Danio rerio: one gene and its partners. The protein of the gene in region 1 interacts with the protein of each later gene in a biochemical or structural test. Links are inferred from orthologs where the notes say so. Each region holds a gene or a part of one and is shown on either strand. Other genes may lie near its edges. The genes, in order: card11, prkcq and bcl10.

Region 1 (3,661 bases):
TGACAGTGGAAATGAAAGCCTGATCGAGGTGAACCATACTGTACTGTACTATGCTGAACCTTACCGCTCAGTGTAAATGAGAAATAGGTGTACCACCTTATATCAAGTGACTTTAACTACCATGTGCTTACATGGATCATTTGGTGCAATGCACTTATTGTGTACATACAGGTTTTATTTTGAACCGATATTTTAAAGATCTGCACGCAGTTACCGCTGTAAATATTTTATTTAATTACATATGACTACCCCATTAACCTATCCTTTACACCAGGGGTCTCAAACTCAATTTACCTGGGGGCCGCAGGAGGCAAAGTCTGGGTGAGGCTGGGCCGCATAAGGGATTTCACAAAAAAAAAGTCCTCAAATGTCATTATTAACAGTTTTAATTATTTCTTCTGAACATGAAGTGTCCTGAACATTAATAGAACATTGAGTGAAGATTATGAACAGTTCTTCTGAACATGGCATCTTTTGCCTACTCTTTGCTGCCAGAGACTTGACAGCGCTTCCTCTCACAAATCTGAACCACATTTGGCTTTAGAGCGGAAGCAGTTGAGACCCTCAGTATGGCTTGAAGATGATCATCATTAAGTCTAGACCTGTACTTTGACTTATTGAAGTCCTAGGGAAAAAAGTATTGCACTGAGGGCCGCAAGTGGCCCGCGGGCCGCGAGTTTGAGACCCCTGCTTTACACTTTACCCACCCATAAACCTAACCATACCACCAAGCCTATCCCTAACCCTAATCTTGCAACACAATATGAACACAAATCATTCATTTACCGATGTTAGTACATAGTAGTATATGATTATAACCTCTGTTTGACCAGTCAGTGTAATTGAGAACTAGTTCTTATTTATATTAATAGCTATAAGAAGTGGGAACTGAAAAAAGCACCAATAACACCATATACAGTGTATCCGGAAGGTATTCATAGTGCTTCAATTTTATATTACAGCCTTATTCCAAAATAAATTAAATTCATTTATTTTCTCAAAATTCTACACACAATACCCCATAATGACAATATGTATATATTTATATATATATATATTTATATTTATTTTTTATTTTTTTAATTGTTGCAAATCTATTAAAAATAAAAAACCTGAAAAATCACATGTACATAATTATTGACAGCCTTTGCTGTGAAGCTCTAAATTGAGCTAAGGTACATTTTGTTTTCACTGCTCATTCTTGAGATGTTTCAGCAGCTTAATTGGAGTTCACCTGTGGTAAACTCAGTTGATTAGACATGACTTGAAAAGGCTTACACCTGTCTATATAAGGTCCAAGGGTTGATATTGCATGTCAAAGCACAAACCAAGCATGAAGACAAAAGAATTGTCTGTAGATCTCCGAGACAGGATTGTCTCAAGGCACAAAAATTTCTGCTGCTCTGAAAGTTCCAATGAGCACAGTGGCCTTCATCATCCGTAAATGGAAGATGTTTGGAACCACCAGGACTCTTCCTAGAGCTGGCCGGCCCTCTAAGCTCAGTGATCGGGGGAGAAGGGCTTTAGTTAGGGAGATGATCAATAACCCAATGGTCACTCTGTCTGAGCTCCAGTGGAGAGGAGAGCCTTACAGAAGAACAACTATCTGTGCAGCAATCCACCAATCAGGCCTGTGTGGTAGATTAACCAGACGGAAGCCACTTACCGCCTCTAATTTTCCAGAAGGTATCTGAAGGACTCTCAGACCATAAGAAACAAAATTTTCTAGTCTGACGAGACTAAAATTTAACTCTTTGGAGTGAATGCCAGGCATTACGTTCGGAGAAAACCAGGCACCGCTTATCACTAGACTAATACCATCCCTACAGTGAAGCATGGTGGTGGTAGCATCATGCTGTGGTGATGTTTTTCAGCAGCAGGAACTGGAAGACTAGTCAGAATGGAGGGAAAGAAGAATGCACCAATGTACAGAGACATGCTGAATGAAAACCTGCTTCAGAGTGCTTTTGACCTCAGACTGGGGCGACGGTTCATCGTCCAGCAGGACAATGACTCAAAGCACACCACTAAAATATCAATGGAGTGGCTTCACAACAACTTGGTGAATGTCCTTGAGTGGCCCAGCCAGAACCCAGACCTAAATCTTATTTTTGGAGAGATCTGAAAATGGCTGTACACCGTCGCTTCCCATCCAACCTAATAGAGCTTGAGAGGTACAGCAAAACACCTAAAGACAGGTGTGCCAAGCTTGTGGCATCATATTCAAAAAGACTTGAGGCTGTAATTGCAGCCACTGGTGCATCAACAACGTATTGAGCATAGGCTGTGAATACTTATACGCATGTGTTTTTTCAGGTTTTTTATGTTTAATAAATTTGCAACAATTTCAAAAAATCTTTTTTCACACTTTCATTATGGGCTATTGTCTGTAGAATTTTGAGGAAATAAATGAATTAAATACATTTAGGAATAAGACTGTAACATTAAAGATTGTGAAAAAAGTGAAGCGATATGAATACTTTCCGGCTGCACTGTAGTATACTTGATATGTCAATTATATGTTATATTGTACGAGTATGGTAATTATATAGCACCTTCTGATACTATTAGTGTACCACCAAGGTGCTTACATATTATTATTTATTTATTTATTTATTTATTATATGTATTAATTATTATTAGAAGCAACTGCTTAAAATGGGATTTGGAAATGGGATTTATTGCAGATACTCATCCCACAGGAGAAGCAGGTGCAAGGCAACAAACAATTTTAAAACATGGTCATAGATCTTTTATATGTGCAGTATTTTAATTTAAAAGTGTCTCACCGACTATAGTGGAGCATCTGCGTGTCGGCTCCTTCCCCGTGACCAGTTTGTAGAGGTCAGGGTAATACAACTCAAGACTCTCCAGAAAAACCACATAGCCTCGCTCTCCCTTCGTGTGCAGGATATCCAGCAGCCGGCCTGAAACAAAACCACAAGCAAAACTAAAAAAGTATACAGAGTAATGTCTTAATGTCGACTTTATTAAGGTACTTTATATAGTACATGTTCGACAAAATTGAAGTCGCTTTTAATTTAATTAAATATGTACTGTAGGTTTTTTTCATGTCATGTCAGTTAAAAAAATAAATGCCAATCAAGTCAAAAGTAAAATTAGCAAAATTGTATATCACTAAATTTAGCTTTTCCAAAAAACATCAAATCAATAAAATTAGGGTGTTTTGTTTGCAATGTTCCCCAATATGATTGTTCCCAAATATGATTATAATCCCCCATTCTTGGAAAATAATAGATTTCTATACTACTGCAACAATACTGCATTTTCTAATCATTATAATGTATGTATGTATTTATTTATGTATGTAATTATTTATTTTCACATATATTTACTTCATTTAATAAAAAAGTCTTCAAAGTGGGTGGCACGGTGGCGCAGTGGGTAGTGCTGTCGTCTCACAGCAAGAAGGTCGCTGGTTCGAGCCTCGGTTGGGTCAGTTGTCATTTCTGTGTGGAGTTTGCATGTTCTTGCTGTGTTGGCGTGGGTTTCCTCCGGGTGCTCCGGTTTACCCCACAGACATGCGCTATAGGTAAATTGGTTAAGCTAAATTGGCTTTAGTTTATGTGTGTAAATGAGAGTGTATGAGAGTTTAGCAGTTGGAATGGCATCCGCTGTGTCAAATGCGCTGGACAAGTTG
Region 2 (3,661 bases), on another chromosome or scaffold:
TATTTATTTGACCTATAGTAAAAATGCAGTACATTGCCTGAATGTAAAGATCTGATAAAGATACTCACATGTCGTGCGTGTTGACACGTATTTCTGGCTAATTGAAGTCAATTTAATTTATTATTTAATTTATTTTATTTTATGTTTTTGCAGAAATGCGTAAACACAGAAAACTAGAATCATTGAAATGCGTTGGGTAAACCTGAGTAAAATCTCATTTTCCAAAAATGGACACTTATGACTGGTTTTGTAGTCTAGGGCAGGGATGGGCAAACTTGATCCTCGAGGGCCGGTGTCCCCGCAGAGTTTTGTTCCAACACTAGTCAAACACACCTGAACATGCTTATCAGCGTCTTCAAGATAACTAGAAATCTCTAAACAGGTTAGTGTGATTAGAGTTGGAGCTAAACTGTGCAGGACACCAGCGCTCCAGGACCGAGTTTGCCCACCCTTGGTCTAGGGTCACAAACATTTTCAGTTTGCATGTAATTTATCAACAAATATGAAATTATCTTAAGCAGATGATAAAATATTGCAGGTCACACTTTATTTTGTGGTCCGTTTGTTAAATTTAAATTACATTGCATCTACATGCCAACTAATTCTCATAAGGTTACAAGTAGTAGACATGTACATGCAAAGTTCCTTATAGTCAGTTAAATGTGTTGAAGAAGCAGTATCAATAGATATAAAGCAGACAGTCTACTAAAACTCAAATGGAACATCAAAATAAAGTGTTACCAAATTACACACCCCTAAAACTCCATTCACAATAGTTTTAAGTTAGATACCTAAACCATGCAAATAAGTGAATAAAAGTTATTTGTAATACATAATGTGCACTTTATACCTCACAGATACTGCTTGGTCAGAAATATGGGACATCTGTAGACTGGTGGTCATTTGGCGTCCTACTTTACGAGATGCTGATTGGCCAGTCTCCATTTCATGGGCACGATGAAGAAGAGCTGTTTCAGTCAATTCGCACAGATGACCCTTGTTACCCACGCTGGTTAACTAGAGATGCACGAGACATTCTTGTGAAGGTATATCTGAACTAGAGATCAATATAAGACTTGTGATTCTGTTATGAACTATAACAGTGTTTGTATATAAAATAACACAGTAAAACACTGATTGGTTTTAGCTGTTTGTCCGGGAGCCAGAGCGAAGGCTGGGCGTGAAAGGGAATATACGGCAACATCCCTTCTTTAGAGAAACAGACTGGAGCGCGCTGGAGGAACGACAGGTGGAGCCACCCTTCAAGCCCACTGTGGTAAGTTCATTACAGACCACAACGATTGTCATTTCTGCTCTAAAACCTGATGGGCTGTTGATATGGATAACATTTAAATGCTAATTAACAGCGCACAAACGCCAATAAACAATTTGTCGGATCAGTCGGCATCTGTTGCCATTGATCGGAGTTTTGTTTTCACCCAAATTAACATGTTTAATCTGCGTTTGTTAAATTGTGGATCACTGATTTTACAGTACAACTAAATACAATAGTTAATTTGCTTGTTGCCATTTGTCTGTGAAGTGTGAATTGGCTTTTAAAGGCATCAGATGCAGAGCAGGTTACAAAATAAACCAAATGAATCCTAAGCCTTAGAGTTAAACGGCAAAGCATACAGTAAAGGGTTAGTTCGCACTAAAAAACATTACTAGTTTGCATTCATTCAAAACACATTGATAACATTCAACAACAAAGTGTTAACATTTAATCAATACAACTATTTTTATGCCATTTGGTATTTTTTTAGCTACCAGAACCTTTTTCAGTAAGTACTAGTACATTTTAGGATGTCTATTCTTAAGAAACTAGCAGCACAAACCTTTTGTTAAGTTACTATTTTTATTAGATAATAGCATTCACTATTAAATACTTATTCATTAAATACTTGTATTCATTTATTACATGCTATAATTTATAGTCACATGTACATACTAAAATTTATCAAAAAGCCTACTAGTACTTACTGGTGCTGTCCTAACTACACATGCTGCAACACCCAATAAAATGTATCTTTTTCATGTTAAAGGGAGTTTTTGTCCTAGTAACCATCTCATGGCAATGCATGAATTTTAGAAATTCTTTCTATTTCTGTGACATTGTGGCTACTACAGCATATACTAATAAGACAATGATCATCTCGGGTAGAAATTATGTGCTTTATACAGGGTTAAATACAATGTGAGTTTAAATACCATTTTACTTTACATTTATTATTACTGAAAGCTGAAGCAGTTAACCTAAGATCTTGAAAATAAACAAACTATCAGGCAATTTGAAAATGAAAGTCAGAGTTACAACATACTGTAAGTCACTCAGTAGCCTACTAATAATGTTAAAGAGGTTGAATGTGTAATATTAAAAGCCTTTACCATTTTGCTGGGAGTCGGTAGCTGGTATTTAAATGTTTCTGTCGTGTCATGTTTGGTTCAGACAGCCAAATTGCTTGTCGCTGGAATCTTGTCTTGTCTTGTTAGGACAAAGTGTTATTCTTGATTAAATGCTAGCAGTTTTTCACTAGATTCATTAAAAATGGCCAATTATTCATTGGATACCAGTTCAGTAAACAGATAGGAATGTTTTATATACTAGTACCTATATTATTGGATACTTGTTATTTAATAAAACAAGTACTAAAATTTATTATTACAGTAAGTACTATAGCAACTATTAAGTATATCCTAGTTTGCTTATTTTAAATACTATTTATTTAGTAGTATCTAATTACTTCTCGTAGTTATTAATTAGACACTTGTACATTTATTCATTTTCTTTTCGGCTTAGTCCCTTTATTAAAAAAAGGGGCATGTTTTACGGAGCAGATGCCATTCCAGCTGCAACCCATCTCTGGAAAACATCCCTACACACTCATTCACACTCGTACACTACAGACAATTTAGCCTATACTACATGTCTTTGGCACATGGAACGCCATGTGACCTAGCTGAGGCTCAAACCAGCGACCTTATTGCTGATAGGTGACAGCACTACCTACTGCGCCACCGTGTCACCGACACCTGTACATGTAAAAAAAAAAGATAACAGAATTTTTGTTTTTGGTGTAACTTTTGTTAAATTTTTTCCAAAACAGGAATTTAAGCTGTATTTAGTTTATATGTTACTGAAGTCAATGACAGAAGATGCATTAGCTCTGAGACAGGATATAAATGTATGATTTAATGAGGTACATTTTAATTTATACATATCCGAGTGTTGTTTTTAGCTTGGCGACATGCTAAAGTTGCAATTTCTCTGTGTTGTGCACCATTAATGCTGGTGTAGATCATTTGAATTCCGTACATTTTGAGGTTTAGTTTTAGTTATGGTGTCTGTAGTAGACAATAGAACTGAACGCAGCACCTCACAATAGATTTTAGAGGTTTGTTGCAAACATTTATCTGTGACTATGACGTTTTGTTTTTTTTTGTTTGTTTGTTTACAGAAATCAGCAAATGACTGCAGTAACTTCGATAAGGAGTTCATAAACGAGAAGCCTCGACTCTCCGTCACAGATCGTATGATGATCAATAGCATGGATCAGAGCATGTTCGAAAACTTCTCCTTTATCAACCCTATCATGACTCGTCTCAAGAGCCCCTGATTCTCCAACTAACATTCATAAAAGACATTCGTGCAAACACTGTG
Region 3 (4,289 bases), on another chromosome or scaffold:
TGGCTCATCTTGAAGATGCTTCCAAAAACCTACCAGCAAAGCTGTTCAAAGTTTTAGGCACTTGTGTAAAAATGCTGTAAAGTGAAGATGCTTTTAAAAATAATTGATAAATACATTTTATTTATCAATGAACCTATATTACTAAATCAATTAAACATGTGAAATGACCACACTTTGCATTTAAAACACTAAGCCCAATAGCTCATAGTTTTTCAGGGAGCTTTGCAGGGAGGCTATTATATATCAGTATTTTTGAAGCAGGGAACATTTAAGACAGGCAAAAATTATTGGGCATGTGTCAAGGATTTGATCAGAGATTAGTGTGATTTCTCTTATTCAACAAAGATAAATAAATAAATAAATAAATAAATAAATAAATAAATGAATGAATGAATGAATGAATGAATGAATGAATAAATTTGACTTGTAGGCTTGTGCTTTACATATCATTTATATACTGCTACTCTCTGTTGAATTGTAGTGTTTATTAAAAGCGTCTGCCTACTAAATAAATATCTGCTAAGTTAATAAAAGATAATTCTTTTTTATGTTTAATATAATATATTTTACTATAATACATATAGTAAAATAATATAAATATATATATAGCAAATAGTGTTTTTGAACCATACTATAGTTAAGTGTATTGAACTATATATATATATATATATATATATGTATATATATATGTATGTATATATATATATATATATATATATATATATATATATATATATATATATATATATATATATATATATATATACATACATATATATACATACATATATATATATATATATATATATATATATATATATAGTGGCAGATATATATATATAATATAATATAAAATAAATGTATATAAATAGTTTCCCAGTACTGGGTTGGGGCTGGAAGGGTATCCATAGTATAGTTGGCGGTTCATTCCACTGTGGTGACCTCTGAAATAGAGACTAAGCCGAAGGAAAATGAATTAATTAAATTTATATAAATAAATATATTTAGTAAATAGTGTTTTTGAACCGTATATTAAACGGTATAGCAAACTCTTTGTAATGAATGCTGCTTATCAACATTAAACTTATAATCTGTAATAAATACAGTAGTATACGTTAGCAGTGTATGTATAAATTTGTAAACTGTAGTGTATTGAAGTGCAATAGTTATATATAGTATTTAAAAAGAATACACACACACATATATAAGTCAGAATTATTAGCCACCTTTTGATTTTATTTTATTTTTTTAAATATTTCCCAAATGATGTTTAACAGAGCAAGGAAATTTTCACAGTATGTCTGATAATATTTTTTCTTCTAGAGAAAGTCTTATTTATTTTATTTTGGCAAGATTAAAAACAGTTATTAATTTTTTAAAAAACATTTTGGGACAAAATTACCTTTACCTTAAAATTCACCACATCAACCCAATTAAGCCTTTAAATTTCACTTTAAGCTGTATAGAAGTGTCTTGAAATATTAAAATATTAATTAAAATATTATTTACTGTCATCAAAGAGAAAATAAATTCGTTATTAGAAATAAGTTTTTAAAACTATTATGTTTAGAAATGTGATGAAACAATCTTCCCTTCATTAAACAGAAATTGGGAAAAAAAATAAACAGGGGCGCTAATAATTAAGGGGGCTAATAATTCTGACTTCAACTGTGTATATATATATATATATATATATATATATATATATATATATATATATATATATATATATATATATATATATATATATATATATATATATATTACAAGTTTCCCAATACTGGAAGGACATCCGCTGCGTGAAACCTGTGTGGCGACCTCTGAAATAGAGACTAAGCTGAAGGAAAAAAAAAAAAAAAATATATATATATATATATATATATATATATATATATATATATATATATATATATATATATATATATACTTCCCAGTACTGGAAGGGCATCCGCTGCGTAAAACATATGCTGGAAAAGTAATGTTTTTGAACTATACTATAGTTAAGTGTATTAAACTCTTTAGTGAACTCTTTATAAATGAATTTTACTTATCAATATTGAACTCATAAGCTGTTATAAATACTGTAGTATACGTTAGCAGTGTGTTATTAGTGTTACATTAGTATTGTAAGCTACTATTATGTGTAAACTGTATAGTTGTATGTATTACAGTATTGTGACATGTTTATACTGTTGTATTACCATAACAACAACAAAATTACCACAACAGATTAATTCAAGTAACGTTAGCCTACTTTAGCATTGTTCATAAACACTAATATTTGCCAGAATTAAGTTAGTCCACTGTAGTATGTTTTAATGTGGGTTTATTTAATCTCGTAGACCAATATGATTAATATGCTCGTCTTAGGTACTTCATAAAGCAGTTCACACTCTAATAAAGTGAAGTCGGAGTATAAAAACTTGACGAACTCATTTGGAAATCATTTGCTTTCAGGTTTTTACACCTGATAAACGTTTGGTTGCATCGATCAGGTTTGTGGTCAGTGCCCCTCAGCGCTTTCACTTCTACTTTTACGAAGGCATTATCTGATTAATAGATTCTCGATTTCATTAACGCGTTTTGTTTCGTTTTACTCACTTCCTTCTTTATATCGGCCATTTCGTCCTCCGTCAGGTGAGTAACATCCATCCTCTCTTTTCGTTTTGTTGTTTTTCACTACTGTTCAGTTTTTAACTCGTTCCGGTAAGAAAACGGTGCTTCAAATTCCACATCGGCGACCAGAAATCAGCCAAAATGTCCAGACACGAACTTGTTAGCACACGTTGGATCCACTCGTAGTTCTCATATAGTAAAGGGGAACTACCGGCGCTTTAACTTCCTTATTGATAGCCTACATACTTTCTGTGAATGACGCCATAACCCAGCATCACGTCATCATTTTACAGGGGAGAACTTGTAAAATTTGTAAATTATGTAATATTTTCCTTTAATTTGTGATGATGTATATACCCCTACATGTGTTTTCCAATTTAATTCTTTTTACTGTATTGGGATTGTATTTGTGCATTTTTCATACTCTGATAAAATAGTTGGGTTAAAAATACCCCAACATTAAACCCAACTATGGGGTATTTTAACTCAATGCATTGGGTTATTTTAAATACATGTTTTTTTTTCATTCTGGTATTACTCTATTACTATTACTACTATTAATTTTATAATTATGATAGTGTAAATAAATAAATGTCTCCGCTGGGTGCTAAAGACAACAATATTATTGCGTTAAGAGCTTAAATAAACTTTAGAATGCAAAAACAACATTAAGCGCACATATTAATACAGCTGTTCTGTGTCAGTTAAATCAGTTGACTGTTGAAATTAAAAATTCTAACCCAACTGGTTGAGTTATGATATAAATAACCCAACAAAGTACATACTATTTAACCCAACTGGTTGAGTTACTATTAAATAACATAATAAAGGTTAAAAATAACCCAACAAAGCACATACTATTTAACCCAACTGGTTGAGTTACTAATAAATAACATAATAAAGGTTAAAATAACCCAACAAAGCACCAAATATGTTTAACTTAATTATTGGGTTAAATAAATAACTCAACGTTTTTTTAGAGTGTAACATTTGAAACAAAGTTATATCTGAAATGTAAACTGTAAACTTAAAATTGTACAAAAAGCATTTACAAGCTGTGATACTTGCCAAAGGCGGCAGTTCAAGATATTATAATCAACAAAAAAACGTTCTGAGAAGGTTCTCTTTTGGTTATAAAATAGATCCCAAAATTAACCTACAATGAACGTTCTGGGAAGGTTCTCTCAAGGTTATGAAAAAAACCTAAATAAAACCTAGAGGGAATGTTCTGGGAAGGTTCTCTGTAGGTAATAAATTAACCATTGAAAATAGCCTGCAGAGAACGTTCTGGGAAGGTTATATTTTGGTTACCAAAAAAAAAAAAAAAACCTACAGAGAACGTTCCCAGAATGTTTTTTTTTTTATTTTCTGTTATTTTGAAAGTGTAAATGATGGAAATAAAGTTTAACTTTTTTGACACATTAAAAAAATGTCTAATCTGTAATTTAAAGCCTTTTGGAGATTTTTCCATCTTGTCGTGGCTTCTTTATGCACATTAATTCAAATTTTTACCTGGGGCGCCCAAACTTTCGATCCCCACTGTTTATTAGGAGTACTAAATCTGATTAAATAATGGTTAATTTGATAAAACACAAAAGGAAAAGTGTTCATTTGTTAAAAACATACCATTGTTTTATTACAACTCTCTCACAACAGAGGACATTATTATAACA

Evidence for each region.
Region 2: of the proteins of card11 (region 1) and prkcq, one has a biochemical effect on the other in vitro, tested with the Homo sapiens proteins (2 studies listed by BioGRID). The link is inferred for Danio rerio from reciprocal best matches to the Homo sapiens genes CARD11 and PRKCQ.
Region 3: the proteins of card11 (region 1) and bcl10 form a complex in vitro, tested with the Homo sapiens proteins (2 studies listed by BioGRID, with this or other methods). The link is inferred for Danio rerio from reciprocal best matches to the Homo sapiens genes CARD11 and BCL10.

What each region holds. Positions count from the first base shown.
Region 1 is NC_133178.1:40,598,168-40,601,828, reverse strand, and holds part of card11 (caspase recruitment domain-containing protein 11), read right to left. Parts: intron 2,928-3,661; coding exon 2,790-2,927; intron 1-2,789. UniProt on the Homo sapiens protein: Adapter protein that plays a key role in adaptive immune response by transducing the activation of NF-kappa-B downstream of T-cell receptor (TCR) and B-cell receptor (BCR) engagement.
Region 2 is NC_133179.1:26,090,551-26,094,211, forward strand, and holds the end of prkcq (protein kinase C theta type), read left to right. Parts: intron 1-857; coding exon 858-1,046; intron 1,047-1,147; coding exon 1,148-1,276; intron 1,277-3,458; coding exon 3,459-3,617; downstream 3,618-3,661. UniProt on the Homo sapiens protein: Calcium-independent, phospholipid- and diacylglycerol (DAG)-dependent serine/threonine-protein kinase that mediates non-redundant functions in T-cell receptor (TCR) signaling, including T-cells activation, proliferation, differentiation and survival, by mediating activation of multiple transcription factors such as NF-kappa-B, JUN, NFATC1 and NFATC2.
Region 3 is NC_133177.1:2,091,307-2,095,595, reverse strand, and holds the start of bcl10 (B-cell lymphoma/leukemia 10), read right to left. Parts: upstream 2,832-4,289; 5' UTR 2,653-2,831; coding exon 2,602-2,652; intron 75-2,601; exon of another isoform or gene 1-74. UniProt on the Homo sapiens protein: Plays a key role in both adaptive and innate immune signaling by bridging CARD domain-containing proteins to immune activation.